Alligator mississippiensis: one gene and its partners. The protein of the gene in region 2 binds, or shares a complex with, the protein of the main gene of each other region. Links are inferred from orthologs where the notes say so. Each region holds a gene or a part of one and is shown on either strand. Other genes may lie near its edges. The genes, in order: GPKOW, SNW1, CWC27 and CRIPT.

Region 1 (7,300 bases), on a different chromosome or scaffold from region 2:
CTGGACGAGAACGCTGCCCCTTGCTGCCAGCCCCAGGGACTCCTCCCCATTCCCCTCCTCAGGGGGCTCTATGCCCAGTGGAGAGAAAGGCAGGGGGGCCTGGGCAGCCCCCAGGCCCAGTCCCTTGGGACGCAACTCATGTTCTAGTGGCTTCACAGCCCTGGGGGAAGGATGGGACAAGAAGGGATTACATGGCACCCCTAGTGCATCCCATGGTACTGACCCCTGTGCACTCCTCCCCCACACTATGACTTCTGATCCCACCCAGACAGTTCCCCTGAACTTCAACCCCAGAAGCAGAAAGAAGATTCTACACATCGTCCCTTCCTGACCTTCTCCCCAGGGTCACTTCTGGACCTCGGAAAGTGGTTGTACCCAAAATTCTCTCTGGCATCCCCCAGTTTGACCTTTGATGTCACAGGGCAGCCTCTGACCATACTCACAATCCTCTCTACCATATCCCACCTTGATCTCTGATTGTACCCACAACCCTCCAACACCATGCTGTACCCCTCGTTGCCCTGCTCCCTCCCCTCTGACCCTTGACCTTCCCAACTGCCACGACCTTTGCCCCCAGGGTCACTCACTGCTTGAAGGTATGGCCGATGCCCTCGCCCTCCTTCCAACCCATCCCCCGCAGCATGGCCAGACCATAGGCCTCCACTGGCACCTCTTCATAATCTGCCTCTGTGGCCTAGGGGGCAAAAGGGATACATCAGCCCACTGGGGTGGGGATTCTGTGGGGAGGAGGGAGTTCTCTGGGAGCTGGGGCCCAGAAGTGCGAGCTCTCCCCCTGCATGAGGCAGCTGGAGGCAAGGAGTGTGAGGGATGCAAGGCCAGCTGGGCCTGAGGGAGGGGGAAAGGGAGAGGTCAGAGTTGGACACCTGGGTTCTCTGAGAGGGAAGTGGGAGCCAGGGAGGGTAGTCAGGGAGAGTCTAGGAGCCTGGACACCTGGGTTCTCTGGAAGTGGAGTTAGAGCAGGGAGCAGTGTCAGAAACCTAGACATGTGGATTCTGCCCCTGCGTGGGTCACCTGGCACCAGGGGCAGAGAGGGGGGATATTGGGCCAGCTGAGCTGGGGGGCAGGAAGGGATCAGAGCCAAACACCTGGGTTCTCTAGAAGTGGAGTAATGGCTGGATGGGGTTACAGCCGGGGGACCTCAGAGCCCTGACACCTGGGTTCTTTAGATTGGGAGTGGGAACTGGGAGTTCATGAGCTGGGATACCTGGGTTCTGCCCCTGCATGGGCCAGCTGGGGGCAGGAGGTGGGTGGGGGAAATACAGAGCTGAACCTGGAGATTCCCTTACCGACTCAGGGCGCAGACTGACGTCCACATGGTCGCTGTCCTCGTAGCCACTAAGTACCCTGTTCTGGACTAGCATGGGAATGGTTCGAGCCAGGGAAGCCTCAGCACCAGCCTCCCAAACTTCCAGCACCCGCTGTGACTCTGCAAGGTACAGGGGAAGTATCAGAGCTAGATGCATGGATTCTTTGGGAGGGAGATGGAGCTAGGCATTTAGAGCAGGGAAGACTGGGAACCCAGGTATCTGGGTTCTCTGGGAGGAGTGGGGGCTGGGAACCTGGACACATGAGTTCTCCCCCAGCTCTGGCAGGGCATCTGGGGTGGTGGGGAGTCTGGACATTTGGGTTCTGCTTTTGAGTGGGCCAATGCAAGGGGAGCCTTTAGTTGACAAAATTAGCACTTTTTGGGGGGAAGCGGGAAGGGGAAGGGGCCACATCTAGCACCCTGGACACCTGGGTTCTCCCCCATTTCTGGTAATTAGAATGAACAAATACAGAATAAGAAAAAGCATGAAGGGGTGGGGAGACTGTACGTGTGGGTTCTCTCTCTGCTCAAGCATCAGGCTGGGAATGATGGCAAGCCCAGACACCTGGGTTCCCGATGCCCACTCACCCTCAATGATCTCCCGAATGGCCTGACCCTCAACCCTGTCCCCGCCAACAGGGTCTGGAGAAGCCTCGCCCGCTGGCCGCTTCCACTGGTTCGTCCGGATCAGGGGAATGACAAGTGCTGAGGGGGGCCGTGGGGCCAGGCAGACACTGTGGGGAGACAGCTTTCTGATGCCCCACCCCTCACAGCCTGAGGCCCCAGCCCTTTCTCTGCACATGCCCCCACCTCCACTACACTTGATCTGAGCCTTCAAGAGGCGGAGAAGGGATTTAACCATGCTCCTTTGCACTTCCTAGGCCCTGCCCCCTCCATCAAGATCCCCTCCCCAGTAGCCACACCTCAATGCCCCACAACCTCCCCAGATGACCATGCCCCAAAACCCTATAACCCCACAGAGGCCGACCCCCTCATCTACTGACCAGCCCCTTATCTTAATTCCAACCCCTGCTCTCTGGGGCCACGCCCCTTCCCCAACCCACGCCTCCAGCCTGCCCCTCTTCCTTACCCCGCCCCCTGCCCTAAGTGTACACGCCCTTTCCCCTCTGCAGGCATGCACTGTACGCACCATGGCTCAGATGCCCAGTGCACACCGACTTTTTCCTCGGTGCACGCGTTCTGATGTAACCCCTCTGCGAGGCAAGCACTTGGGGCAACCTAAGCTTCCACATTAAGCATGCGTCCAAAGACACCCAGCCTCTTCTCCTTCCTCCTGTGTTCATGGTCAATACAGCTCGCGCATGCGCCATTCCGCTTCTCTACCCCGCCCCCAGGGATACCTCTGGAGCTCCCGGTCCTCCATAGCGCGCACGAAGTCTGGTTCCGGCACGTGTTCGGTGGCGTCAGGCTCCGCGCAGGGTCCCGACTCGGGACCGGGCAGCCGCCTCCGCCCAGCGGCGGTGCGTGTAAACCCGAACGACACTGGTCCCGCTCCACCAGCCGCTGGCGCCGCCATCTTGCCGCACCCGCAGTCGCTGCCGCAGGACATCATGGGAGTCGTAGTCTCATCCTCGGAGCTGGCCCTAACTGGACGCAGTAAGGTTTCATGGGAATTGTAGTCCTCTCAGAGCCACGGCCCTCTAGTCGCGCCCGGAAACGCCACCGAAAAGTATCATGAGAGCGGTACAGCCGACTCACCGCGGCCATCATTGCCTCGCCTGGGGTTTGCGGTACACGGAATCATGGGAGTTGGAGTCCCCCTCTACTAACAGGCATTTCGAAGAGACAGGAAGGGTTGCCTGAATCTCCCATCATGCGGTGGGATCTTTGACGTAATACATAGACAGCATGCATTGGGGCTCCAGGCTAGAGTTACCAGCATGCACTGGAGTAGCCTACAGGTCCCAACTGCCCTGATAACTGCTCCCCCACCCCTCCAGCTTTGGGGAGGGGGAGCTGGGAGAGGGCTAGGGAGAGAAACCAGGTGTCCTAGCTCCCAGACCCATTTTGTTTAGTCACCAGACCACCCCCCGCCCCTCACTTCCTTTCATTTTGGGATGAGCACGGATTAGCTGCCCTGCCACCTAAGTATCCATCCCTCCAAAAAACTCCACCCTCCCTAGCAGCCTAGCCACAGGGGGCAAGAGGACGGTTACCTGGGCAGCGGCCCTGTTGCCTTGGCAACCCCCCCCACCCCACTGCCTGCAGCCTGGGTACCCAGCAGGGGATGGAGATGGAGGGCTTTTGCACAGGGCTGATCCCAAGGCTTCCCCCCCCCTCCCCCCACCACCACCACTGGCCTATGGCAGATGGGATAGGATAACCTGCTGGTTGGACTTGGATTGTCAAAGTTGGGGGACTGCAAATTGGGAGTGATGGAAGGGGCTGTGGGTCAGGAGTGAGGAGCACTGTGGGGAGGGTGGCCTCACCAGAGCTGGGGGCAGGGCTGTAGGGGGTAAAATGCGGCTTGCTTATGCTCTTCACCCCAGATCTGGCTGTATCTGAACACTTTTTTTTCTCCTTCCACTCTAAAGGCCTACAGGGACTCCCAAGAAGACTCCCCCACCCAACACTCATCTTGGGGCTCTAACAGAAGGCCCCCAATTGCACCATGGGGGGTCCCAGACCTCAGCCCCATAACTGGGGCTCAGAGAGGGGTGAGGCCTATGGAATCAGGTGAGTCACTGAGGGGCAGGTGTCACAGGGCAGGAGTGATGGGCACCCCAGGGCTATGGTGCAGAGGTTCCAGGACAGGAATGGGAGGCACCATAGAGCTGATGTGCGGGGCTGCAGATTGGGAGGGAGGAGAATTTTTATCTACCCCTTCCCCACAGCTGCAGCACCCCGTGGAGCCCCCCAGAGGTCAGAGTTCCCATGGCAGGGTCGATCACAACTACAGGAGGTAAGTGTAGGGGACCAGGAGTGGCAGCAGGGGGCATCATGTGGGGCTCTGATAACCTGGAGCAATGGATGACACTCTGGGACTATAGTCCCCCTCCAGATCACTAGGAGGTGACATGCAGAGCTGTATCTCCCTCTTTAAGCTACTAGGGGATGCCGTATGGAGCTGTATTTTCTCCCCAGGCCATTAGGGGTTACCATAGATCTCTTTATCCAGGCCATGGGGGAAGCTGTGTGGGGCTATATCTTCTCTTCTAAGCCACTAGGGCAGTGCTTCCCAAACATTTCCTCAGCATGACCCCATTTCCTCATCATGGCCCCTCACTCTCAACTCACAGCACACCCCCCCCTTGGGTGCCCCTCAATCCTGACCCACAGCTCCCTGGCTTTGCTGGTGCTCCTCATTCCCCATCTGCAGCCCCCCACTCTCCCCAGGTGCCCCAGGGACAGGGCCCTCACCTTAGCAGTGCCTGAGTTCTGTCTACCACCTGAAGGAAGCAGCAGCTGCTAAGGCCAGAGCATGAAGCCCGGCTCCCTGCCCTCCACCCCTGTCCCTGACCCCACAGGTGGTACAGCCAGAGTAGAGCCCATGGGGGTGGGAGGATGTGGGCTGTGGGCTTGGGGCTCGCTGCCCTGCTGCCTTTCCCCCAGGCCTCTGCAGCCCGGCAGACAGGACCTGGGAGAGAATGCCACGCTGCAACCCCATCTACTAATGTTGCGACCCTATTTGGGATCACAACTCACAGTTTGGGATCTGCTGAAGTAGGGAGTGCTGTATAGGCCTGTATATCCCCCTCCAGGCCACTGGAGGATGCTGTACATGGCCAGATTCTTCCCCCACCCCCTCCAATGTTCAGAGCTGCATTTTGCCTCCAGGCCACTAGGGGATACTGTGCAGTGTTGCATCTCCCCCACTGTGGCATTCAAGGGTACAATATAGGGTTGTATCTCCCCTTCCAGGCCACTTAGGCGGGGTGCTATGTAGGGCTGTATCTCCCCTCTGGGGCATCAGGGTGCACTATTTAGGGCTACATTTCCCTCTTCAGGCAGTTCCAGCTACAGCTTGGGGGCGTGTGGGACTAAATATACTTCCCAGGTCACTTGGGAATGCTGTACAGGGCCATGGTTCTCCCCCCAGGGAAACTGGGGGCGGGGGGGGGGTGTTGGCAGCCATGTCTCATTAACACCTGGCTCTCCACCCTGCAGTGAATGTGGTGGTGGTGGTGGACGGGAGCTGGGTACTGCAATACAGCCACCAAGGGGTGCTCCACTCACCTTCCCTATTAGCCTGCTGCCCCCACCCCTGCCTGGGGGGCAGGACCACAAGCAAGGAGGTGGGGGAGGGGGTTGGCACCTGCCTGTGCCCCTGCCCCACCACTCCCCAGGGGTCACTGGCATCAGGGCAGGGGGCACTCAGGGGGGACAGATCTGGGACCCCCAGTGCTGCCCCCTGCTGGGCAAGGCAAATGAGACTGGCAGTGGCCTGCTGTTCGTTCAGTGCCCAGGTCAGGAGCTGGGGGCAATGAGGGAGGGTAATAGGTGCGGGGGCATAGGGATAAGGGGTGAGGAGTGCGAGGGCTGTGAGCAGGGCATAGGGATGGGTCTAAAGCTAGTGGCAGGGAATTGGGGTGAGGGAGGAGATTCAGGGGGCTAAGGGTTGGGGGAGAGTTTAAGATTAAGGGATGGGGCATTGGGTGATGAAGGATGGGGAGGGACTAAAGTAAGGGGAAGGGTATTTGGTTAGAGGAAGAGCTAAGGCTGGAGGAGGGGCACGGGGGAGGCTAAGGTTGGGGGAGGGGCAGTGGGGTGGGGAAGGGACTAAGCCTGGGGCCAGGGCATGGGGTTTGATGGAGGAGTTAAAACTAAGGGAAATGCATGGGAGTAGGGCTAAGAGGGCGAGGGTATTGGGGTAGGGGGTGGGAGAGGGTCATGTGGGTGTGGGAGGACTGTGGGGTGGGGCTAAGGCTGTAGGGGAGGGGCAAGGAGTGGAGTTAAACCTGGGCAGGGACAGGCCCTAGAGCAGGAGAGGGGCAAGATGGCTGTAGAGGTATCTCTGAGGGTCCCTTACTCCACTAACCCCTACTTTCTCCCCCAGGCCCCAGGAACCTGCCCCCATGGTCAGCTGCTGGCCCCCACTGCCTGGGCTCAGGGGGTGCTGAGGAACTTGCTGTGACCAGCTTTGTGGGGCCTGAACCCCAGGACATCCTGCTCAGTACCCTCTGCAGGCCTCATCCCCCAGGGGGCACTGGTGTGGCAACCAGGCCCTGCCCCCGCACTGGTGAGTGAGAGCAGGGGTTGTCTGGTGCCTAAGGGGTTAACTCCTCACCCCTAGCTGTTATCAGCTGCTGCCTGGCACCACCTGTCTGCCCCTGGGTCCCTTCAGCCAAGGTCAGTCTGTTTGGCTTGGTTTTGGGAGGGACTTGCAGCCACTCAGGGCCTAATAGCTCCTGCCCCTCTGAACACTACCATGGTTGCCTGTACCTAAGCTTTGCTATGGGGCTGGACATGTAATTATTTCTAGGGGCCTGGAGGGAGCAGATATTGAGTGAGGGTGGGACTGGGGTTTTGGGGAGGGGTTCCTGACAGGGTGGGGCAGGCACCCCCAGCATGCTGGGCGTGGTATGAAGGTGGGAAAGGAGCATGTTGGGGTACACACATGCACACACACCCATGATGGGGTGTGCACACAAACACCCACACACCACCTTATTCTTCCCTCCCCACCACAGGCTCCTCCACCAGTGACTTGAATGGGCCTGATACTGATGTGAGGTCTAAGATTGGGGGTTCCCACCCCCTACAACCCCAGGTACTAGAGGGAGTGGGGATATTGATGGAGGAGGGGGGACATGGAATGGGCAGGGATCAGGGAAGGGGAATGGGGGGTTTGTCTGGGTAGTGAAGGGGAAGTGGGGGAGGTGGGGTGGAGTATCCCTTTGACCCTGCCTCTCTCCCCCTGCAGATGCCAGCGCCTCCCCCTTTCTTGGTGGAACTGGCACGGGGCCCCCGAGGCTTTGGGCTGAGCCTATGTGGGGGACCATGACTGCGGCT
Region 2 (8,169 bases):
AAGCATCTAAGAAGCTATTACCTTGTCCTTTGACTGTCCTTGTCGAGCTATCGCATCATATTTTATTTTTCCTTCTGCATCCACTTGAACTGCCAAAGCATTGGACATTTTCTTCTTTCGGCCCATATCCAATGGGTACTGGGCCACGTGGATTTCTGGAAAAGCCCCTCCATCTCCAAAATCCTACACAGGAAAGAAACAGAAGTGTATAGTGAATAAAGCATGTGGGATAACTTTGTCAGTGTTTTCCAGTATAAAGTGGAAGCAGGAACTGCCTTGGTTTCCAGCACATTGTCAATGTCCGAGTTACCCTGCACCACAGCATACTGTTTGGGTAGGTAGCAGAATTTAGATTGTTTTGTTTTTTTAAATAGAAGCCACTAATATGCATTTATCTCCCTCAGAGAAATATCTATAATTATCTGTTATACTAAACAGGGGTCTATTGTCCTGACTGGAATATGCATCCATTATCATACCAGTGATACAAATAATAAATTGGAGAGGGATTCATATGCGAATCAGTATTTAACATTTGTGATCTTTACCACTATAATAAAAAGCATTTGTGGACCTATGAAAGGCACAAGATTCACAGGCTTTCTGTTGAGGATCTGTATTTACCACTTAACACACAAAAAAAGTGCAATTTTTTTTCCCCAAAAAGACAAATTTATTCTGCTGCTAAATGACTAAAATTTCCTGCCAACGCTTATAGTGGGCACAGTAAGAATGCCCAATTCCAAGTTATCAGATTTCTCCAGCATGACATGCACTATCACTTGGTTTAGAATTACAGACCCCTATACTTTTTATTATTCCCCCTTTCATATAATACACAAATGCTAAAGCACTTAATAAACTGATGAGATTGATATCTTGAGCTAGGCTATCCTGAGTCAGTAACAGTATCATAAGTCAGTAACAGTTAAAGCACATGTAGTATTAGTTGTCCCAGCATGCTAAGAACAATCTTGTAAGGGAGGACAAATGCAACATGAAGCATTCCCAGTGAGGTGCTTCAGTGTTTTCATCCATGAAATGTTTTCAATCATTCATTCAATGTTTTCATCCAGTTTCATCTTTCATCCAGTTTTATCCATGGTCATTTTTAAACATTTGGGCTGATTTGTAGTGGAATATATTTTATATTACACTGATGAACTACATGGAAGATTTTGTGAAAACCCAAAGGGTGAATGAAATACTATACAGGTAAATTTGCTATGAAAAAGCGAGCTATAAATATTAGTGCAGGGGTTGTCAACCGGGAGTACGCGTACCCCTGAGGGTACTTGAGAAGGCCCTAGAGGGTACACATGGGCAGGTGGCAATGGAGCACCACCTGCCCAGCCAGATCTGAGGGGGGGAGGGGGAAGCTTGCAAGCAGCAGCTGCCACACTGCATTTGGCTGTGCGACACCCCCCACCAGCCACTGGGGAGGGTTCAATAAAGAATGCATTATACAGTGTAACTAAGAGGTTTCTAAAGTATGCAATACAGTAAAAGCCATGTTATCCGGCACTTTATTAACTAGCATGTTCTATTAACCAGCATGCTGGTCAACACTGCAAAAGTGAAACTGGAAGTCCCACTTCCAGTTTCACCAAGTCCACTTCACCAATTTTGGGGCATGGCCCCCTTCTTGTCCCCCAGCACAGCACACTGATGCCAGCAAGTGAAAGCCTGGCACCAGTCTGACCAGGCAAAGATGCCTCTCAGGTAACCAGCATATTTGGTTATCCAGCACCCCCCATTCCCCATGGGTGCTGCATAACAGAGCTTTTGCTGTTATAAACCAAATGAAAAAACAAAACACACTTCCACCTAGCCTGTTGAATATACAGCCAATTCCCACACAGCCAGGCTCACACAATCCTCCATGATATAATCCAAGTGCTCAGAATTCACCTCTGCTTCAAAAAGAGAGGAACAAAACTTATTTTTCAGGGGGAGAGACTTCATTAGAGCATGAATTCAAATATTTACCTCCAGCATTCGTGGTATCCATCCTTTCCGATAACCATATGGAGGCGGTTCTCTGCGTGATGAAACCAGTGCTGTTTGTCTTGATCGCTGAGCTCTTGCTCTTTCTTCTAATTCTAGCTGGTCCTGAGACAGCTGAGTTGGAGCTGGCAAAAAACTGCAAAAAATGGGAGAAGGAATTTTAATCTTATATTTTCACACTCTCCATGCCTGAGATTGAATGCAGTACTTGATTCTGCTACTACGGTATTCAAAACAATTGTTCATCTGTCCCTGGTCTGTATTGGATCATACGCAATGTACAACACTTGAGCATTTCACTTTCCAGTTATGCAGCAGCTACTCTGGAATTTAAACGGAGAAGAGAACACAGTCTCTCCCCACCAGGCCAAAAGATTTCTATGGGGTTTGATAAAACCATCATCCACATTTCCACCCCCCTGGCTCCAGGGCAGGAGCCATATCTACCTTCTCTTTAGCAAGGCAATAACGAACTTGAAAAACCCTACACAAGTCTGCATCTAAGTATGCTTTCCACTGCTCTTGACAACAAGGTGAAAAATATCCAAGTTTCAAGCATTTCCATACCTAAGTGACTTAATGAAAAAAAAATAAGAAAATTGTTTCTACCCTAATTATGTGTGGTGCAAAGCACTAGGCCCAAGGAGGGCTTCCCCCTTCCATAGCACTAGTGCCCTCTTCCTTCTGGACAGAAGCAGAAGATCCCAAACTCTGGGGAAGCCTGCGGAGGCTGCCTGCCTGCCTGGTAATAAGGCCCCTTCTGACCCTGCCAGGGTCTGAGGAGCCTGGAGAGCAGCTCCCGGGGCGCAGCGGGGTATGCCCGCTCCCGGGACTGGAGGGGGGGGGGGCGCTTCCCGCCGAGCAACCAGCCACCCCCTGCTCGGGGAAGCCGGGGGGGGGGGGAGGGGAGAGAAAGGGGAGCGGCTGCCCTCGCGCAGGACAGGGCGGCGGCAAGGGGCTCTCCCGCCCCAGGGCGGGACGCCCAGTGCCGGCCATGCCCCCCAACGGTGCCGGGCCCCGGGGGTGACGCTTGCCCCCGAAGCGGGCGCTCCCAGCTGCGGGCCGGGGCCCCTGGAGCAGCGCCGGGGCTGGAGCCCACTCCCCCACAGCCAAGGAGCGCTGAGGCCAGGCGAGGAGGGCGGGGGAGAGCCCCGACCCCGCACCGGGGCGCACTCGGCCGACCACACCGACCTGGTGAGCGCCATCTTGTCTCCTCCTTTCTCTTCACCAGGCTCCAGGCCGTGCGGCGAAGCCGGGTGCCAAACCGAGCAGGCGCGGGCGCGAAAGGGCTGCTGGGAGTTGTAGTCTCTTGTCTCTATTACGCAGGGCGGTCACATGATCCAGTGCGCAGGCGCACAGGCTGAAGGCTCCCTCGGCGCGAATCTTGGTCCCGCTAACGACTCTAGGCGGCTCCAGTGTTCCACTGCGCATGCGTAAAAGGCTATTGCTTTGCTCGGCGCCGGACTGTGGGCTGGGCTTGTAGAGCTGCGGGGCTGGGGAGTACGTGCAGGATGGGGCCTGGGTTCTGCACCAGAGCTGCAGAGCTGTTCAGGGGCGTCTGCTAGTTGCAGGCTCAGCCCAGCCTCTCTTGTGCACCACAGTGGGGTCCAATAAAGGTTGATCTTTTTTTCTTTTTTTTAAGGAAACATTTTCATGTTCCAGGCCAAATCAGACAAATCCATTCCAAATCCATGACTTATTCAAGAACCATATGTGGCCCTACTACCAGCAAACATCCTCCACCCCACCTGGGGCTTCAGATGTTTACAAATTATTTGGCAGGCATCCTATGTGCAGGTCCAAGCCCAGAGGCTTGGGGTTCAGATCCCCCCAGGTTTTGCTTGCCCTCAGCCATATGGCTTCAGGAGCAAGCTAGGGAGGAGTCTCCCAGTTCCATCAAGTGGGCATAAAGCTAAGATCTTCCCACTGAAAATTGAAGTGGGAGAGTATATATTACCTCTGTAGGTACTACCCCATGCCAGAAAAGTGGTTATCTTCTGTCCCTGGGAAAACCTCTATGGTGATCATGGCATTTTCGCATCATTCATGACAGATGGCAGCATTGCGTGGCCCCAAGCAGCAGTGCCTTCACTGTGACATTACCTTGTTGGGCACCCTCATAGCACTGAGCTCTGGGACCTGATCCGTGGTGGGTACCATGGCCCTATCTTCAGTACGGAGCCAGCCTGTGGCACTGGCGCAGGGCTGGCATACCTGTGTTTGCAGGGTCCTCTAGCGTGGTGATGTTCAAGCTTTTTGACCCCATTGGCCAGAAGAGAGGCATAGGGCTGGTCTATAGGCCAGAAGAAGCCCTGCACACTGCCATTAGGCCCCACAGGGCCTCAGCTGGCCCCTGCCTGGGGCCTGGCACTACCTCCTCCCTGCCCCAAGGAGCAGGAGCAGGAGCAGGAGCAGGTCCTGAGGCCTGGCACAGCCCCTGCCTGGCCACGGACACTGGTTGGAGTGCAGGGCCCAGGGCTCCCCACAGGTCCAGACATCTGGCAGCAAGGGAACTGTGCCACCACTCCCACTCCAAACCCATGGAGAGCCCTGCAGGCCAGATGATGTGGTACCAGGAGCCAGATCTGGCCCATGGGCTGAGCCCCCCATCTCTAGTGCAATGGCTCTCAACCATTTTAGATCAAGGCACCCCACTGCAGTTCTGAATTTAGTGGTGCCCCTTTTCAAAATCCTATAAGTGGTGACAGGTTTAGAACTTTTTTTCTGAAGCTTCTTTACCTTAGATGAGATCTCTTCACAAAAATTATTTATAATGTTTTAATTTAAGCACGTGGGAGAAGTTGTAGGAACACAAGAAGTCAGAAAATGAGACCACTGCAGGGTCCCAGCCCCATAATTACATGGGTACAGTGCTTTCACTACAGGATAGGGACTAGGGTTTGCAGACCCCTACCCTGCCACACCCTGAAAGTGCACCACTGGCACTTTCGGGCGTGCCTCTGGCACTTCCGGGTTGGTGGGATCAGCCACGGGGGGACCACATCTCCTGGCACATTCCCCAGCCAGTGCTCTCAGGGGGGGCACTAGTGCTCTCGCTTGCCCCCCTGCCTGGGAACGCTGCTGTCAGGGGGTGCCCCAGCGCTTTCAGGGGGTGCATGTACACCCCCGTGCACCCCCTACACGTCACCACTGGCAGCAGCAGACTCTCCCACAAACAATTCAGGAAGAGAGACATTTTCTGCAAGACCCCAAGGAAAGCCCCTTTTTCTGCAGCTTGGATGTAGGGTCTAGCTATTGGAGACAATTTAGGATGCTGGGAGCCAGTGAGTATACACTTAGCCTGAGTGAGAGAGGTAGAAAACAGCCTATGCAAACTGCCCAGTGCCTCAGTTAGGACACAGCCCCAAGCTTCAGCTCCACACCTGCTCCCAGACTGGCCCCGCAGCCCCACATGTCTGTACCTGTCCCTTAATCTGCAGCTTCTGTTTCTCCCACTGTTGCTTCCTTGTGAGAAGCTGCACCTCATTCTCCATTGGCTCATCCTCCCCAGTTCTCTCTCCATAGGCACTGGGGGCTACCAACACCACCCAGTACAGGCTAAGCCAGCTCAACCAGCCTCTCCTGACTTTGAATGCTTTGAGTGGCTCCACAAGACCCCTATGCAAGGCACAGACAGGTCATGCCAGGCCACTTCCAGAAGGATGCATACATGTTAAAATGTCCTTAGAAACATGTTGCAGCACCCCAGGGTACCACAGCACCTGGCTGAGAATCACTGCTTTAGTGAAGATGCTGCATATATCAGCCCAAAGGTTTTTCTCCCTGCATATTTGTACCACCTCCTGAACTAGCATAAGCTAAGCCAATAAAGCCCTTTTCTGCCTGCATAATGGCATCCATAGCAGCAGTTTTGCTAGCATTACTATGTCAAGTAGGGGTTGTAATCTTTTCAACGCTGTGTCCCTATAGCTGATGTAACTATAGTGTAGACCAGGTTAGTGTCATGAAGTACCAACAAAATGAGCCAAAATTATAGTTTCCTGCCCCCTTGATATATTTCTGGTATCTGCAAGCTGCTGCTGCTGGGAGAAATGTTCCAGAAAATGTGAATAATCCCTAAAAATTACATCAGGTGGAGATTCTGAAGGATGGGAGCTTGATAAAATATTCAGATATTTTCTCAGGCCTCTTTTATAAAAAGCTCCCAACAAGCCATGCAACTTTACTTTTTAATTACCTATCAGAAGGACAAAGTGTCCCAGGGAGGGACAGAATATATTGTGCAAGTAGGACTGCAATGAAGCTCTTTGCTAATTTTGATATCTAGTACCTGGATACCACAGATAGATGCATTAGAGAGAGAATGATAGAGAGAGTGATGAAAAGTGCTATGTAAGTGGTAAATATTATGATCAGTATTATGAAACTCTGTCACATTTAAAATGTTCTTAACTAGGCTTAAAAGTAAAAAAAAAATCTTTTGTACTAAATTTAAATGCCAGCTGCTGCACTGTATGTGTGTACTGGGCATACATTCACATACCTCCACAGAGGTTTTTTCCCGTGATTCAAATTTCCAAGAGGCTGAAAGAGAAGGAATCTTTTGAGATTTAGATAAAGAAAACTGTTCATGGGAAACCCCCCCAGAAAAAAAACAGTAAATTCTATTAGCCTGTGGAAGGTAGACCAGTTTTACTAAAAGAAGTTCATCATGAAATAAGGTAGTGCTGGGAGTAGGGATGGAAGAGTCCAGTTCTCCATAAAGTCAGTAGAACAAAATTAATTATTTATTAATTATTACTACTGCTTATATTATATTGGTACTTAAGGCATGGCAGAAAGCAGGGCTGCATTGTGTCAGGCATTGTTTTAGATACAAGGTAATAAAAAAATCCATGCCTGGAAAGGTTTACTATGTAGCCCAGGGGTATCAAAGAGTCCAACCAAGAGCCTTTCAAAAAGTCCAGCAAAGTCACCTCAAAGACGTCCTTCCAAATCAATATGTTTCCTATTTACAATATAAATACATTATATACATATTACTCATCTATAATTGATTGAGTACAAAATTCTGGGGTATTTTTGACTGAAAATAGGGTATCAGGAACCAATCCCCAATTTATAACATTGTTTCTTATGAGAAAATTGGCATCAAGTTACAACGTTTCGACTTAAGACCCGGGTTTTCAGGAATCCATTGTGTCGTTAAGTCGGAGGACTGACTGTCTGTACTCTATTCTGGGCACTTCAGCCAAAGATACAAAACTTTTTCATACATTGTTTATCTGTAGTAAACAGCAAATCATTTTGCCAGGCCCCATCTCTCTCTCTTCTCCTTTTCATTTCCTTCCATCTTTTGGTAACAAACAACAGGGCAGTTTTTTCTACAGCTCTCACCATCTGAAACTCCCTTTTTGTCTCTCTTTTTCCAGCTTTCTTATACGTCACAGCTGAAAACATAAATTTTCTCTCTTGTTTTGGCCTGTTGGATTTTTTCTTTGTTGTATTATATTATTTAATGCTGTATGGCAAACTATATTATACAACTCTGTAAAGTGTTTTGACATGTAGTTTGTATGAAGGCTGCTGTACAAAATCATTGTGTTAAGCTGTAAAATTGTAACTGAGCAATCCAACTCAGCTCAGACTCTTGGGAGATGCTTCATTGGTTTCCTTGCTCTCACTGAGTGCTCCTGCAACTGCTTCATCTTTTCTTTTTGCAGTCAGGAAGCTGCTTTTGTTTCCAGATGATTTTTAATTTCCTGTTATCAGCAAGAACTCAGTTCTTCTGAATCCTTTATTTCCCCTGCCTGAAATTGTATTGCTCAGTACAACCTTAGCTGTGACAAACTGAATGCAGTTTAGTCAAGTTTGAGCTTGTGTGAGGCTGGCTAATTAAAGTTTGTAGACAGAGGGCGCTGAGCAGAGTTGAGCATATAGCAACAGGGATGGCACAAGCTTTCTCAAATCCATGTGCTTTAATGCATTTTAAACCACTGTTGTTCTACTCTTGTGCTTCTCTTTCCCCACAACTCTATTAATACCCTGCTAACCTAGGATGTTTTTTACACAAATAGCTTATTTATTGGAAGATGCAGTTTTGGGTTGAGCAAAACTAAATTTGCAAATTGTTTTGACTGAAAAACAAAAAACACTTCAAAATGTTTTGCTTCAGCATTCTGAAAATGGAATGTATCAACT
Region 3 (7,483 bases), on a different chromosome or scaffold from region 2:
GTGGGCTATTGTCAGGGTGACCCCATTATTTTGAAGGAAAACTGGGATGGGGGGGGGGGTCACATACATGTACATACCCCAGACCTGCACGCATGCACCCCTTCCCCCACCCAGAGCCGAGGTTCGAGCAGGGTGGGGTGGGACAGTGCGGAGGCCCAGGTTCAGGCTCTGTTCCTCCATGCGCAGAGGCTGAACCCAGCTGGGAGAGGCTCCTGTGTGGTGCCCCTCAAGCTCTGCCAGCTTGCGCTATGTAGCCACACAGCGCCTTCCCCCAGCCACTGTCAGCCACCTGGGGCCGCCACATGAAGCCCAGACCTTGGCAGCAGCAGAACATGAGGCTGCTGGTGGCCATGCCGGTTTACCTTATACATGTTCCTGAGCCCCAGCCCCCTTCCCTGGTGCTGTTCCTGAGCCCCCGCCTCACCTCAGCCCATCCCCACACTAGGCAGGAGGGTCAGGTCAGATACCATGCTCAGCGCACCCCTGCAGCCTCCAGAAACTGCTCAGGAGGAACAGCACCAGGTATGTGTAGGCAGGGTGCTGCCTCTAATCCTAGACTTCTGCTTCTATTTTAGGCAACTGGCAGGGACAGCCCATGAAATTGGGGACTGTCCTGGCCAAAACAGGACATATACCTTAGCTATTGTAGATACCCACCAGGACCATCCTCCTTGCTGTTTTCCTCTTTTACCTTAAATCCAAGACTCTAAACAGGACCTCAGAACAAGTACATGTATTTTTAACATGCAAAATATACTGCAACTGAACATTTGCAGATGAAGTCTCTGATCAAATCACACCATAGTTTGAATGAAAAAATATTTTCCTTCTCCAATCTGAGAAATGCAGAGGCAGAAGTGGAAGATCGGTTTGGATTTGCAGCAGCAACAGCAGCCATAACATACTGGCTGTCGACTTTTCTCCCCTCAAAGTGGTGCTGATACACAAGATATAGCTCTGAATTAAAGCATGTGATAAGAATTTATCATTGGTGACTTGGCATGTGACACTTGTGTGCATCATTTTATCTCATTATACAAGGGGTTGGCAACCTATGGCTCAGGGCACTGACATTACACTTGTGCTACGGCAGCAGTGGAGGCATCCACAGGCTTGTAACCCCTGCCCTGTTCCATATTCCCTCCGTAGCACCTGCTGATCACCAGCAAACACAGATTTGTGGGTCACAGCAGAGAGCTGGGTTGCCAGCAGAAGCTTGTAATGGCAAAATGTTGCAAATCCATGCTTTTTATCAACATCCTCTACTTCTTTTCTTTTGGCATCTTTCCGTCTATGACAGATGGTAGATATTGCAGCCTATGACATAGATCTGAGGTTTTTTTCAAACTTTTTTAACTAGTGCACCCCTTCTGGTGGCAGCGGCTAGAAATGGGGCGGGGGAGGGCTGGGCTCGCATGTGGAGGCTGCTGCCACTACCCACCACCCCGTGTTGCCACTGTGCCCCGCTCTCCCACAGCCAGTCGGACATGTGGCTCTGAGGGCTGCTGATAGGCCTTGCGCCCGGCCAATCGTGCACCGCCTGTCAGCACCCCATGGAGCCACACATCCATAGAAAAGCTGCGCATAGCAGTGGCGTGTGGTGGTGGGTGGCAGTGGTGTGTGAGCTCCCCCATCCCCTGCGTCCGGCCAGCCAGGCTGCACCTGTGCGGCCCGCAGATGTGCACTGCTGCCCTTGCCCTCTCTGGACCTGCTCCTGGGAGGTGGCGGCATGGGGTGGTGGCCACCGCATGCAAGTGCCCCCGCCCCACATCGAGCCAACCCTAGGGGATGCAGGGCCCAGGGCAAATCAGCCTGTGTGGGGCCCCTTTAACATGGCATGGGGTCATGGGACCCCCACAAAGGCAATGAAATTTGGTGCCCAGGGGCCAAGCAGATCTCATGTGCCCCGACAAGCCGCTCTTCAGCAGATGCAAAGCTGGTGACGTGCTGCGGGAGGATAGCGGGGTGGCAAGCAGCTAGATACTTCTTCTGCGGCGTGGGGCTGAGCTGCCAGCTCCAGGCGGGCCCCATGGGAGGGGCTGTGGCCATTCTGCCCAGCTCTGCGGGGCCCCCCCCAAGCATGAGGCCTGGGGCGGTCGCCCCTGATTTGCCCTACCCAAAGGACAGCCCTGCGCACATCCATCATCAGAGGCGCTGCTGCCCTCGCCCTCCCGCCCCAGCCCTGCCCCTGGGAGCAGGCACAGAAACACACTTCCCCACACCCCCGCCATTCAGGCCCTTTGTGCCTTGCAGCTCTGCAGGCAGGAGGTGTCCGCAGCACTTTCCTGCCATCAGCTATTGGCTGAGGGTAGCAGCCAATCAGGAGACTGCGCTGGGGTGAGGTGCTGCAGTGTGCGTGGGGCCACCCGGTCCCTCAGGTAAGAGGGAACATGTGGGAGCGCGCTGGAGGGGATGCCCCTGCTGTGCCCTGGGGCGCGCTCCGTCCTTGCCTGCCCGTGAGTATCCTCTATGACCTCTCTAAGTACCCCTAGGGGTATGCATGCCCCAGGGCTGATGACCTGACAGATGGTTCGCAGCATCTCATGTGACTGCATATCCTGTGCTAGCCACTGCCCATCTCCGTGCAAGGCACCCACCTTCTGGCCTCCCACGTTCGGACCCTAGAGTGGCCAACCCTCCGGGATTGCCCTGCAGTCTCCAGGAGTCAGATATACATCTCCAGGAGACTGCTAAGAGTCACCTGGGAGATAAATAATACAGCATTCATTAAAATAAATATTAAATGGTGAATCTAATGTATACAGTAGTCCAGTGAGTTTTTAAAATGCAATGGTACATTTGCCTTCCTGAGCGCGGTACAGCAGAGCAGTCATTAATGCACTGCATCACGTGATGAAACCTCAGCTTCAAACAGAGCCGCCCACCCCGTCGGTCCCACGCGGAGTAGCCGGGCCCAGGCCTCACCCCAGCCTGGGACCAGCCCTGTGCCCCGGCCCCGGCCCAGCACACCGCAGGACTGGGCCCGCACGGGGATGTGGAAGCAGGGACCGGGTATCCCGGACGACAGCGCCCACGGGACGGATCCGGCCCCGGCTCCTCGTTTCCCCAGAGTGGCGCAGCCGCCCTCGAGAAGAACGACACGGCCATTCCCCGCTGCTCTTCGCCCCCGGCCCCGGCCCCGGCCCCGGCCCCGGCCGCACCTTGCCGTGCGTAGGCGGCTCCTGGATGTAGATGTTACTCATGCTGCCCCCGCCGCGATCCGGCCGCGCCGCGCCCCTTCCCCCACGGGCCCGCCTAGCTCCGCGCGTCGCCCGCCATGTTGGGCCGTACCACTCAGCTGCGGGGGGCGGGGGGCGCGGGGGATAATGCGGTTGTGATGGGGTCGCAGGCCGCCTGGGTAGGGCGGCGCGCTACCCCCATCTCGCACTCCTAGGCCTCGCAGCTGCTCCCCTCGGGCCGCCCCCGCGCCTCCCTTTCCCCCCCCCCCGCCTGGGCGAGTGGTGCGGCCCACGGCGCGTCGCGCTCAGCCCCGGCCCGGAACAACGCGGCCCGAGCAGGCGGAGGAGGAGGATGGCGCTGCCAGGTGGGCACCTTGTTTGTGGGCAGCGGGTGGCGGCCCCTTCCCCGTGTCCTAGTCCCCCGGCCGGGCTGGGAGCGCCCTGCCCGCAACCGGGGCCAGGTCGCAGCCCAGGCTCCTGGATGCGGGGACTCCCCCTCCGCGCAGGGTGCGGGGAGTTGTCCCCACCTGTGGGGCGTAGGGTTGCCAACCCTCCAGGATCGCCCGGGAGCCTCCAGGAATTGGATACAATCTCCAGGAGACTGCTGAGAGTCACCCGGGAGACAAGTAATAGGGCGTTCTTTAAAATAAACATTAAATGTTGCATCCAGTTTAGGCCCATGGGGTTTTTTTTTTTTTAATGTAATAGTAATATGCATTTGCCTTCCTGAGTGCAGTACAGTAGACTGATCATTAATGTCACTACATCACGTGAGGAAACCTCCTGGAATAGATTCAAACAAAGTTGGCAACCCGAAGTGGGGCATTGCCTTCCTCTGCCCGGCCTGGCCCTCTCCCAGGGTCTCCTGAGCGTACGCTGACCCCCTTGTACAGCAGCCAGACATGGGTTGCTGCGTCCCCTGCTCTGCCTGGGGTAGGTGAGGGTGTGAGGGCCGTGGTGTGTCAGGGTTGAGCTCAGGCTTGTGCATGCACAGTTTAGATGTGGGTTTGTACAGGATGGTTTGGGTAGGGAGGATCCTGCCTGTCAGGCAGGGGTTGGACTAGATGACCAACGGGCGTAGTATGCACTCTAGATTATTTTCTGGTGATGTTTCAGCTCAGTTAAGCAGTCAGGCAACAGCATCAAAAACATTCACAAAGTGAACTGTAAGTCACTTTCAGAAAGCAAATTTTCCCAGATCTACAGAATACCCCACCCGTCAAGGAAAGAAGTTTTAATTGCCAAGCAGGGCTTTGTAAGGGATATGCTGTGGTTTTAAAAATGTTTCCATGCTAGTTTATTGGGCGACTTGTTTTCTTCCTGCCTGTGTGTGGAGCTTTAAAGTGGAGTACAGTTTGTACTGACTGGCCCCGCTCTTTAGGCCTGAAACTCATGTGCCTGGTGAACTAGGACAGCTGTAGAGAGATCTCCAGGCTGTAGGTTTAGTTTTGGAGTATCCTTCTCCTAGGTAGGTTCCCAGACCAGGGGTAAAGAGTTCCACCTGCCCTAGTTATTGGGGTTGGGTCGCTATTTGTCTGAAACCTCACCTTTGACCTTAATGCCATAGGATACCCTACCAAAAAGGCTGTCCAGACAGCATCATTCTCAGGATCATCAGGGCACGCAAGCCTCTCCACCACAACAAGGAAGAGGAGTTTATTGCTTCATAACAAATCAAGCTCGTTCTGCCATCAGTGAAATTGCTGCTGAGTGGAAGTATTGGCCACAATCACGATGCAGAGTAATCCCGAGTTCAGTAAAAACTCATACAGAAAATTTAAACTTTCAGCAGCCTTTTATAATTGGTTTGGGCTTTGCTGGCCTTATATATTCCTTTTTCTAGTGGCCATATCTAACATGACAGCACCCTGAATTGAATTGTTTGCAGGGTTTGAATCCCAGAAGACTGGGTTATATGTCTGTGTGAGCTAGTGGACAAGGTGTGTTAGCTCAAAGCAGCAGGACAATTATAAAGCTCTATGCATGGGCTACCTGCTGGAATGGAACCAAGGGGTGTGTATAAAAGTTATTTTTTTTCACCACTTAAAGCGCTTTATTGCCATGACAGGGGGATAAGCCTGGGTGGAAGGAGGGAGGGATTGAGGCTCCCCTAGTGAGGGAGGAAGGAGTGGGGCTGGAGTTGCTGCCCAGCTAGGATGGGGCCTGGGACCGAAATGTGTGGGCACAGAGTTTGGGCAGAGAGTGGGATGGAGCTGCAGGCGGTTCATTTGGCGGGCAGCAAGGGGCCTGGCTTTCCACTGCTGCCCACATGTCCTCCAGATTTGTGCGCAGGGCAGAAGTGGATGTGGGCTTCTTGCTGCCCTTCCCCTGTGGCCTCTGCGTCTCAGCAGGTGGGACCTGGCGCGGCAGAGTAGGGCAGGGAGGCTTGGTGCTGCATCTGGGGGGCTGGGACAGGAGGCACCTCATCATGGCAATGCGAGGCTCCCAGCTGTGACACCAAGCCTCCCCACCCCACTCTGCCTTGCTGTGTGGGGTCCCACCTGCTGGACCGTGGGGGAAGGGCAGCAGGGCAGAGAGCCCCAAGCCTACAGCAGGCATCCTGCATCTGCCCCCACCACAGGCTCCACTCCAGCTGTGCTCCACAGGTGGCAGCTGGGGCTTGGGTGCTGCTGGGGGAGGGAAGGTAACTGCAGATCCGGGTTCCTGTCCCTGTAGCCCTAGCAGCCGGGGACCCCCTCTGGCAGGACTGGGTGCAGGCAGGGGGCTGTAGGTTGGGAGTGAGTGACACCGGCAGGGTTGGTGCGACTGTGGCTTGGGAGGGAGGGGCAATGGCATGGGCAGGACACTGGCATGTCAGTGCAGCTCCACGCCTCAAAGCAGTGTGGGGAACAGCCACAGCTGGACTTGCATCCTGGTGAGCAAAGGAGGCAGGGGGAGCTCTGATTTTTCCATGATAAAAAAACCCAAAATCAAGTGCCAAAATTTATAGGTATTTAGAATTTATTTATTATAGTGATTGAGGCACTGGTAGGCTTCCAAATTGCTTTTACATTGTAAATGTAAAACATTGTGTTCAACTGATTCTCTCTCTCTCTCTCTCTCTCTCACCTATATATATATATAGAGAGAGAGTGTGAGTGGTGTTTAATTTTAACCACGGAAAAACATGGATTTGGGGTTTTTTTTGATCAGAGAGTCTGCAGCTTTTAAACAGAAAACCAGGATGCCTGGCCATGACTTAATAGAAGTGTATGGATTTACAGTACTTTAAAAATGGATACATCACTTTAAATTACCCCTTGTTAAATGAGTTATTACATTTGAAGCACTGTATTTTACAGCATTTTAGCTTTACAGTGTTTTAAAAAAATTCTGTATACTGGTCAAATTTTTGACCAGTAGAGAAGACTGAGGAGGCTACAGAGTGCCCCCTGCCCCCATAACCTGGAAAGTGCAGTGAGATTCAGAGACCTTTCCCCGCTTCCTCTCCAAACCATGCACTTCTGTCAAGTTTAAGAACACTGTAACCATAGGCGCCAACTTTCATTTTTGCCTAGGGTAGGGGGTGGCCAAGATGATGGATGTGTGCCAGCCCCCAGTATGTGAGGAATGGGGCAGGTATGTGGGAAAGGGGGGTTGTGGGCACAGGTAATGTGTGAGGGGGTGGGAGGGACCATGTGCCTCCCACCAGATTCCTGTGCGCAAAGCAGGGTATGGGGCTGCAGCCTGGCCAGACCAGCCTTGGGCAGGATCCGCTTCAGGGGCTCAGTGGGCAGGACCCAGTACAGGAGGGAGCACCACACTGCCCTGGCCTCCAAGGTAAGACACCCTCTGGCTCCAGCAGCAGCAGGAGCACAATTCCATGCCACTTCCACACCTCACCTTGGTGGCCATGGTGCTCTGTCCTGCGCTGGGTCCTGCCTGCTGGGCCACAGAGGCAGCTCCTACCTGGAGCTGGTCCACCCTGGCTGCAGCCCTGTGCCCCATGTCCTGCTGTGGGTGCAGAAATCTTGGGAGTCACATGCCCCCCGCTGTGTCACCTTCCCCATCCCCCGACTCCTCTCTACCACATTGCCTGTGTTCCCTCGCTCCCCTGATGCATTGCCTGTGCTCCCCTGCCCCTCTCCTCCACATTGCCTGTGCTCCCCCTCTTCCCTGCCACATCACTCTGGTCCCCTTGCCCCTCTGTACTGCATCGCCTGTGCGCCTCCACCCTTCCCAACATGTCACCTGTGCCCCCTCATCACTCGCCCCCATAGACTTACCTGGAGGAAGCTGCTCTTCACCACTGCTTAGCTATCATGTGCTTGTGTCACCCCCTTCCACCTATAGCCCTCCCTGCC
Region 4 (8,184 bases), on a different chromosome or scaffold from region 2:
CAACAAAAAGGCAGGCAGTAGATTGGTCTCTTGCCTTCTTTCTGAAATGGGTGCTGATACTCAAAAGAACTCTAACTTGTACCTTAAGTTTGTGCCTAAATGGTAATCATTAAGGGACTTGTAGCTGCACCTTAATTCCATGTCTAAGCTTGCAAAAGAGGCACTGATCATACATGGGCTGTAGTCTTCTCTCTCCAGAGGCCAGACAGTCCCAAGTGTCTGGTAACAAAAGCTGTTATACCAGCATTTGTAAGGAGAGATAGATCTTAATGGTCTTCAGTGAAGATATGGTTTTCAGACTTACTCTATTAATGGTGCTCCGTAAAGGACAATAATTCCATGAAACACGATGCAGGACATGAAGAAGTATATGCAGCATTTTAGAAATCTAGATATCTGAAAAAAGGAAAAAATAATTTAATAAAATATCAGGGTAATCATCTATATTAAATTCTACAAATACATAACTAATTAACTACATAATCATTTGGTTGAAACTAGATATTTAATATGCAAGAGGTCCTGATTATTTTAAAGTAATAACTTAAAAAAATAAACCCTTCTTGGTTTGAAATTGTTTTGTCTACTGCACTCTTATAACAAGTAGTACATCCAATGATTGCAATGACTACAACTGTAAAGGTAAATGAGGAAAAAAGTCTGTTTCTCAGCTTGGTTCCTCTGCACATTTAACATTATTTATTAGAATCGTTCACATAGCATAAAGGGGGAGGGCAGGATCAATATAGAAAAATGCACTAGTTCAGTCAATCAGTGCTTTACCAGACATTCTGTGCACAAAAGTATTGCCTTCAAATGTCTGGCTTGTCCAAGACTGAAAAGCATTAAATTTTCAATGAACTAGTCCTTTGGCTCAGCTACAGAGGCAGGGAAGACTGAAAAAAAAGTCTTTGAGCTACTTTTCTGCTCCCCTGCCCTGGTTTGGTTGGGTTCTGGATTGTGTTCCACTCCCAGTACCACAAACTACAATATGCAATGCCTTCTTTAAAATGAAGATGTTGGTGGGTACTGATGTGTTTGTTCAAATGACACTAAAACTGTGTCCAGACGAGCATGGCCATGCGGTATGTGGTGCCGCAGACTGCACATTCAGTTGCTCTCCACGCTACAAGGGAGCAGCACAGATGGTTTTTTTGACCCCTGGATATCTGAATATATCCACGGAGAAAAAAAATACAGCAGTGTACTCACAAGCAGCACTCACCACTCAAAAATGGAGCCAGGCAAGCCAGAGCCACACTGCGGATGCCAGCCAAGCTCCATGCAGCAAAATTGCCACTGCTGGAGCCCCAGGAGGCCCCTAGGACCCCAGATAAGGTTGCCTGGGCCAGCCCAGTGCTGGCCCCAGCCTCCCCTACCACCCCTGGGGTAACTTGCTGAAGCATGCATAACATGCACATTCCCCGGGGACAATTAGCAGCAGCACAAGGTGTCCCACTGCTAGTTGTCCCTGGGGAAACAAACATCCATACACGTGTGGATGCAGCCTAACTGTCCATTTTAACCGTATTGAACATTCAAGTTTGCTTAACGTTACCTTTATTCAATAATTTGTGAAGCTCTTTTAAAAATGATTCAATGCTCTTTTCTACCTTAGATTATTGATACCTATTGACAACTTTTAGCTGTGGAGAGATACGTTCATAATGCTGGCTTCAGCCCTGACTCTACAATGAGCTCCAGGCATGCAGTCTTCTGTACCCACACTGACTTTTCTCAGAGTGAAGTCTGTTGGAGGTTCAAAGAAAGTCTTAAATACTTTCAGAAGACAGACTAAGAAGTACTGTATATCTGAATGCTTTTAGGTGTGAGAGAAAGTTTAGCATCTGTGAAAACTAAAAACCCATTTCAGAAGGTACTACACTTAGCCAGAACTTCACTAACACTTGAATTTATTTTGCTCTTTCATTTTCCCACTTGGTTCCTTCAGTACAAAAAGTCAGTTCTTCAGTTCTCCCTAAATGCCCTTAGTGTTAACTTAACTGTATAAAGTCTTACCTTGTGAGCAAATGAACTTCTCTTAGAAGATGGATTTGGTTTTACTATTATATATAAAAATATATTTACAGTAGTGACACAAGCAGAACAAATACACAACCAGGTAAGGTGTGTTCCCAAAACTGAGAAGTTCTCCAAGAAGAAAGATGGAACGACAGTTGACAGAATAATGGAAACCACACAGAAAATGTGGGCAAAGAGGAGTTTCTTTATTTCTGTATCTTTCATTATGTTATTTGTTGAATATTCACCCTATAAAAAACAAATTTTAGTTAGTTATTGAAAAATAAGTGGTACTAGAAGACACTATTTTTCCTAGTTAAAATATGTAGTAAAACACACTGTGGTCTGCTGTTAATTAGCAAACTCAGTTTAGGGGCAATCCAGATGTTCCCCTGTAAAGAAAGTTTTGGAGGGTCATGAATTCATGTGGGTGATATCTTTTATGGAACCAACTGTATAGTTGGGAGTCATACAGAAAGGCTTTTGGGCATGAAGTACTCTTCCTCACAGACCTGTTATACTTGAAAATTTTTCTGTATGGCCCAATAAATGTCACCCACAAAAATTCTTGCCCCTCACATTTTTCCTTGACCTTGATGGCTACACCACCACCCCAACTCTACCCCAAAAAAGTTTTGTAAATCAAAAGCCAGCAGCCAAACACCTAGTGATTTAAAAGCTTGTTTTAATACTGAACATTTACATGGACTGCCTGGTGTTCTTCCAATGCAGGTACCTTTGATTTTGAGACTAATGGCAGGTCAGCAGTAAAAATACTTTGGGAAGTTTCACATACAGGCTAAATTGCATATTGAGGGCTTATTTGGCAACCAGGAAACTTCCCAATATGTGAGATGAACAGTTAATCCCTCTGTTAGACTATTTCAACTGCTGACAAGCCCTGAACCTCAGGAGTTTCTGTTAATTTCAACACTGCTATTAGCAGGTAAGGTACTTTAAGTAACAATATAACTAGCATTATTGAGGTGTGAAAAGCTGACAGCAGGCTTATCCCACAAGAATTAGCAACAGCCTTTAAATCAGCTTAAAAAGTACCTTTAATATTGAAATCAATGGAAGCTGTCAAATGGCTGCCTACCTTATCTGCCCATGTGGCAAGTAGTTTATACTGTATACAGCAATCATATGCGGAACTTGAAAACCTAACATGGTGATGTTTTGCTTCCTGTGGGCTCTCACAGAAAGAAAATGTCTAGAAGCAAAACGGAGCTGTTTTGTTCTCTACACAAACCAAACTCACCCCCTGACCTCAGGCCACAGTAATACTGAAACATAAGTGTTAGTGATTATATCCATCTTCACAGGCTGCACTAGTATGAAATGGAGGAAATGGAAAAAACTTGTAATATTTCTCACTGCAGAGATTCTCTGCTGCTTTCTAACTCTACAACAGACATTTATAGCATGCAGTAATATCTGGTTCTGGGGGCAGGGTGTTCAGTTTTAACTATTACCATTTCCCACTCCACTCTACACAGATCAAAAGAAATCAAGAGGCTCCAAAAGTGATGCTCAATGCTTTGGCAACACAGGCCAGAGGAATGGCACAGAGCCTGTCCATGTATTAGCTCACACCCTGGGTGCCAGGACTGGGCCCTAGGGCCCCATGCCACCCCCACCCAGCCCCGTATACCCACATCAGGCCTCGCACCCGTGACCGAATGCACGCAAATCTGCAGGGAGTCCCACGGGCCAGATGACACAGTGCTGGGGACCAGATCTGGCCTGCAGGCCAGATGCTGAGCAGTCAGGGACTATGGCATTAGCCCACCTGCCCTTGTGAGGAACCCTGGCAATCCCAATTTCAGTGGGCAGAACAACTGCAGGGCTGCAAGGTGCACTTTGGGGGCCTGAGTGGGGGAGGAATCTGCTCTGAACGCCATAAACACTGCTGTGGTTGAAAACAGGAGGGAGCCCCCAGAGCTTCCCCAACATCCCTCTGGTGACAGAGTGCTGGTGTGGGGCTGGCAGCACAGATGTGCACCCTCGCCAGGCCATGGCCTACCAGTGCAAGGAAGTGGCTGATGTGTACGTGTAAGTGTATGCATAGGTACAGGAGCATGTGCAAGTATGCATACACGTGCAGGTGTGTGTGTATGCATGTGTGTGCAAATGTGTGCGTGCATACATGTATGCATACAGGTATGTGTATGCAACCATGGGCACGAGTGCAGGAGTTAGTGCATGTGTAGGCATACATGTATGTGCAAGTGTGTGCATGTGTATACATAGGCAGGCTATGTTCTTTGAATAGATGTGATCTCTTTTATTAGACCAACAGAGCGGTTGGAAAAATGTTTTTGGCAAGCTTTGGGGTGCAATCACCCTTCTTCAGGAAAGGAGAGTCTCTGCTGATCAGAGACTCCCCATATATATGTATACACCCACGTATGTGTAGGTGCACATGTGTGTAAGCGTACATGTGCATATATGCAGTGTGTGGGTATGCATGTGTGTGTCTGTTCAAGTGTGCAGTGTGTGCAGGTGCATGTATGTGTAAGTATGTGTGGGTGTATATGTACATGTATACAATCTGCGTGTGCATACTGGCACATGTACATGCATGCAAGTGAGGGTGCGGCCGGCAGGTGTGTGTGAGTATACATGTGTGCTTCCGTGCCTACGCACAGGCTAGGCCAGGTCTGCATCACCACGACACTCTTGTCACAGGCAGGGTGCGTGAAGACGAGTTGCAGAGGGGGGAGGGGGGGGATCCCGGCCGTTGCCCGCCCCACCCCCCGCTCTCACCTGCGTCTCCCCCGCGCCGCCGCTCCTCGAGCCCGAGGTCAAAGGTCACCAGCCACCGCCCCCTCACCCGTACACAGCGCACAGGCGGCGATCCGTGAACAGGCGCCGGCCGGTGATGGACGGCTTGCGGCGGCCAATCCGCGCGAGGGCCGGGTCGGGCCGGGGGCGGGACAGGAAGTGCGCGCCGGGAAGTGCAGCTGTCAGTGTTTACCTCCCCGCCGCCGCCATCACTATGGTCTGCGAGAAGTGTGAGTGCACAGGGCCCTGCCTCCCTGTCCCGCGGGGCCGATCCCCATCCCCCGGGGGGGAGGGGCCGGGGCAACGCTGGCTGCCATCGGCAGCACTCACCCACCCCTAACCCCCTTCTTCCGGGCTGCATTCGGCCTCGGGAGCCCGGCTCCGCCCCCTCGCAGCCCCCGGACCGGGATTGCCCCCCCCTAGGGCTACCATATTTCCAGGTCCAAAAAGAGGACACCTGTCACGGGTGGGGAGTGACCTGCCCCTGCCCCTGCCAGACAAAGCTAACCCCCTGAAGCCCTGCTGCTTCCCCTCCCCTCACTCTGGACCCACTGACCCCCGCCCTGCCAGTGCCCTTCACTCCCACCCCCCAGTCCCCTGCTCCCTCCCAGTCCTGGTGGTGACCCTCACTCCATGACCCCCACAGTGCTGCCAGTGTCCCTCACTGTGGACCTGTAGCCTCTGCCCCCCCAGCTCTGCTGGTGCCCCTCACTCTTGACCTGCAGACCCCTGCCTCCCCTGCCCTGCTGCCCAAGCAGCTCCTGCATTGCGAGCATGCCCGTGTGCTCTCTCGCTCTTTCTGGTTACACCTGGCTTGTTGAAGCTGGTGTGGGGAGCATGTGGCCCCTGACAGCCAATCGCCTTGCCCAGCTTGGAGCAGCCAGCCCTGGAAAGGAGAAAAACTGGACATTTGCTATTATTTTAAAAACCTGCCCGGATGCAGCATAGGAGTCAAAAAAGAGGACATATCCAGGAAAACCCAGAGATATGGGAACTCTAGTACCTGGAGCCTGGTCCCAACCCTTCGTATCTCCCTTAGGCCAGAATTGGCCCCTGGGAGCCTGGCTCCACCCCCACCCCTGGCTGGGATTGCGCCTTGGGAACTTGCCTTCCTCCATCTCCACTGAGATTGGGCTGCCAGGAGCCTGGCCCCGACACCCTCGTAGCCTCTCTGGCCAGGATTGGGCCCTGGGGGTGGGCACTGCCCTGCCTGGCTCTGCAGACTGTGGTGGGGCCCAGTCCAGTGCAGGGCCTGGGGCTCCCCACAGGCCTGGGAGTTTGGCCATAGGGGAGCAGTGCCACAGCCCCCCACCACCCTATTTCCAGACCTGTGGGGAGCCCACGGGCCGATGGCATGACACCGTGGGCTGGGGGTTGAGCTCCCGTGTTACAGTGCACGCCCCTTCACAGAGGGGCCCCAACAGGGACAAGCCTGAGCCTGCAGCTGTATCTGCTTATCCCTTCCCACCTCGGGGTACTTGGGGGTACCCTGCTTGGGGCTTGTGGCTTTAGTAGAAACCTTCTTTTTGGCATTTTCACTTACATCTCCTTGCTTTTTCCTCTTCTGTCTTTTTGTGCCATAGGTGAGAAGAAACTGGGCACTGTGATTACCCCTGACACGTGGAAGGATGGGGCTAGAAACACTACAGGTACTCTTTTTACTTTATTTGTTTATTTGAAGTATTTTTAAGCATTTACTTAGAGAAATCGTAGTATTCATTACTCAGTAAGCATTGAACCAGTTAGGTAATTAAAAGGCTCTGTGAAGCATCTTACAGCTCTGACAGCATGAAGCAGCTGGCCTGTTCCTTTTCTTCACTTTAACGTACTGCAGCTTCTTTTTCATTTTCTGTGGGAAATGTCACAATTCTGACTTCTCGGTACTGCATTCCTCCAGCCATGATTTGTTCCAGTGTGAAGTAATGATACTTATCATGTGTATTGACGTATGTGTGTACTGGAGAAGTGCATAATTCACCTAATGGAATAATACAGTGCCAGTCTCAGTTTTACACTGCAACAAATGTCAGTCAGCCTCTTGGCTAATCATATAAATTATGCCTGCCTAGGAACCTTTTTGGCCTGGTGTCTTTGTAATATACTCTGTTTAACTGCATAAGAATCGGTGACATTAACTAGCAGCAAAACTGACTAGCAGCTCAATTGTCAGGCTTTTAAGAGCAACCCAGAAACTAGCTTGGTCCTGTCAGGTTGAAGACTCTTGTTAGAGACATAAGGGCTCTGAGTAGCAAAGTAAAGAGACTTAATGAAGTGCAAGCTTCTCAGTGCAAGGCATTTTGTCTGAATTTATTAACTAATTCATCTTATATAGTGCCTTTAGTATTGAAATCAGTAGGCTTATACTGTACTTTGCACACGAGTTATTGTCTTCTGTAGCTGTTGGGTGTTTTTTAGGTTAAATTCAGATGAGTGAAAACTTATACTTTTTAGTGCCAAGGTATGTACTTTCATGGACTACGTTGCTTAAACAGAACATAAAGTCCTTTTGTTGCCTCACATTTTAGTCCTAATATGTATACAATATTCAGTTTCTACCTGCCAGCTTTGCTTTTAATTGCGTATTCTAAGACTTGGCTTTGAATTTGCTGTTCTTTGAGCTGACTAGTTAGTCTGCATACATTTGGTTATTCTTGGCCATTTATAGGCCTTTGGCTTGTATGTTGCCTCATGCCATCACATATTTAGTAGTTAAAAAAATCCATATCCTAAACAAACAAATACTAGCTTTAAAATAGGATGATGAAGTATAATTCAATATTTACACTCCTATGAGAGAAAGGAGGGGGTACTAGTAGTTCAGGCACAGGACTTTAGATGGGAAACTACTAGGAACTTCCATTTCTAGCTGTGCCCCCGACTTCTATATAACATAGGATAAATAACTAAAGCTTCAGCTATGCAGTGACCATTATGTAGGTGAAGTAGACTGGTCACCTTGAGTTTGTTTTATGATTTGGGCTTCTCACTGAATTTTTTTAACAAATAAGAAAAAGAATGAGGCATGCATTTTATCCTCAAATGCCAGATTATAAAAAACTATATCAAATTGTAACTAGACATGAGAACTTAAAATGTGAATATAGAGACCAAATTAATGCTTTGTTATGAAAGTTTCTGTAAATATGTAAAATATTTGAGTGTATACATCTGCAAAGTTAGGTTTTAATGAACTAAGAGCAAAGTGATCAAATTTAAGTTAATCAAGATAGTAACTATATTACATGCCCCCATGGATAACTTTACAGATTGCTTATAATATATTGCTTCTATGTTTTGTGCGTACTGTATAAAGGTAGTATGACTGATCTCTTAGACATAAGAAGCATAACATGTGGGGACGTGGTCAGGAAGGCC

What was found.
Region 1: SNW1 (region 2) and GPKOW share a complex: the UniProt entries of both Homo sapiens proteins name them as parts of the minor spliceosome. The link is inferred for Alligator mississippiensis from reciprocal best matches to the Homo sapiens genes SNW1 and GPKOW.
Region 3: SNW1 (region 2) and CWC27 share a complex: the UniProt entries of both Homo sapiens proteins name them as parts of the minor spliceosome. The link is inferred for Alligator mississippiensis from reciprocal best matches to the Homo sapiens genes SNW1 and CWC27.
Region 4: SNW1 (region 2) and CRIPT share a complex: the UniProt entries of both Homo sapiens proteins name them as parts of the minor spliceosome. The link is inferred for Alligator mississippiensis from reciprocal best matches to the Homo sapiens genes SNW1 and CRIPT.

Annotation. Positions count from the first base shown.
Region 1 is NC_081831.1:28,334,467-28,341,766, forward strand, and holds the start of GPKOW (G-patch domain and KOW motifs-containing protein), read right to left. Parts: upstream 3,121-7,300; 5' UTR 3,093-3,120; coding exon 3,047-3,092; intron 2,945-3,046; exon of another isoform or gene 2,936-2,944; coding exon 2,689-2,935; intron 2,062-2,688; coding exon 1,916-2,061; intron 1,448-1,915; coding exon 1,308-1,447; intron 695-1,307; coding exon 588-694; intron 161-587; coding exon 1-160. UniProt on the Homo sapiens protein: RNA-binding protein involved in pre-mRNA splicing. As a component of the minor spliceosome, involved in the splicing of U12-type introns in pre-mRNAs.
Region 2 is NC_081825.1:263,412,779-263,420,947, forward strand, and holds the start of SNW1 (SNW domain-containing protein 1), read right to left. Parts: upstream 3,302-8,169; 5' UTR 3,213-3,301; coding exon 3,199-3,212; exon of another isoform or gene 2,927-3,198; intron 2,725-2,926; exon of another isoform or gene 2,617-2,724; intron 2,144-2,616; coding exon 1,990-2,143; intron 184-1,989; coding exon 22-183; intron 1-21. UniProt on the Homo sapiens protein: Involved in pre-mRNA splicing as component of the spliceosome. As a component of the minor spliceosome, involved in the splicing of U12-type introns in pre-mRNAs.
Region 3 is NC_081826.1:261,519,522-261,527,004, forward strand, and holds the start of CWC27 (spliceosome-associated protein CWC27 homolog), read right to left. Parts: upstream 3,286-7,483; 5' UTR 3,204-3,285; coding exon 3,162-3,203; intron 1-3,161. Other genes in the region: protein SREK1IP1, read left to right, coding at 3,532-3,544. UniProt on the Homo sapiens protein: As part of the spliceosome, plays a role in pre-mRNA splicing. Probable inactive PPIase with no peptidyl-prolyl cis-trans isomerase activity. As a component of the minor spliceosome, involved in the splicing of U12-type introns in pre-mRNAs.
Region 4 is NC_081824.1:199,216,522-199,224,705, forward strand, and holds the start of CRIPT (cysteine-rich PDZ-binding protein), read left to right. Parts: upstream 1-4,940; 5' UTR 4,941-5,023; coding exon 5,024-5,039; intron 5,040-6,392; coding exon 6,393-6,458; intron 6,459-8,184. Other genes in the region: PIGF (phosphatidylinositol-glycan biosynthesis class F protein), read right to left, coding at 305-396, 2,020-2,247. UniProt on the Homo sapiens protein: As a component of the minor spliceosome, involved in the splicing of U12-type introns in pre-mRNAs. Involved in the cytoskeletal anchoring of DLG4 in excitatory synapses.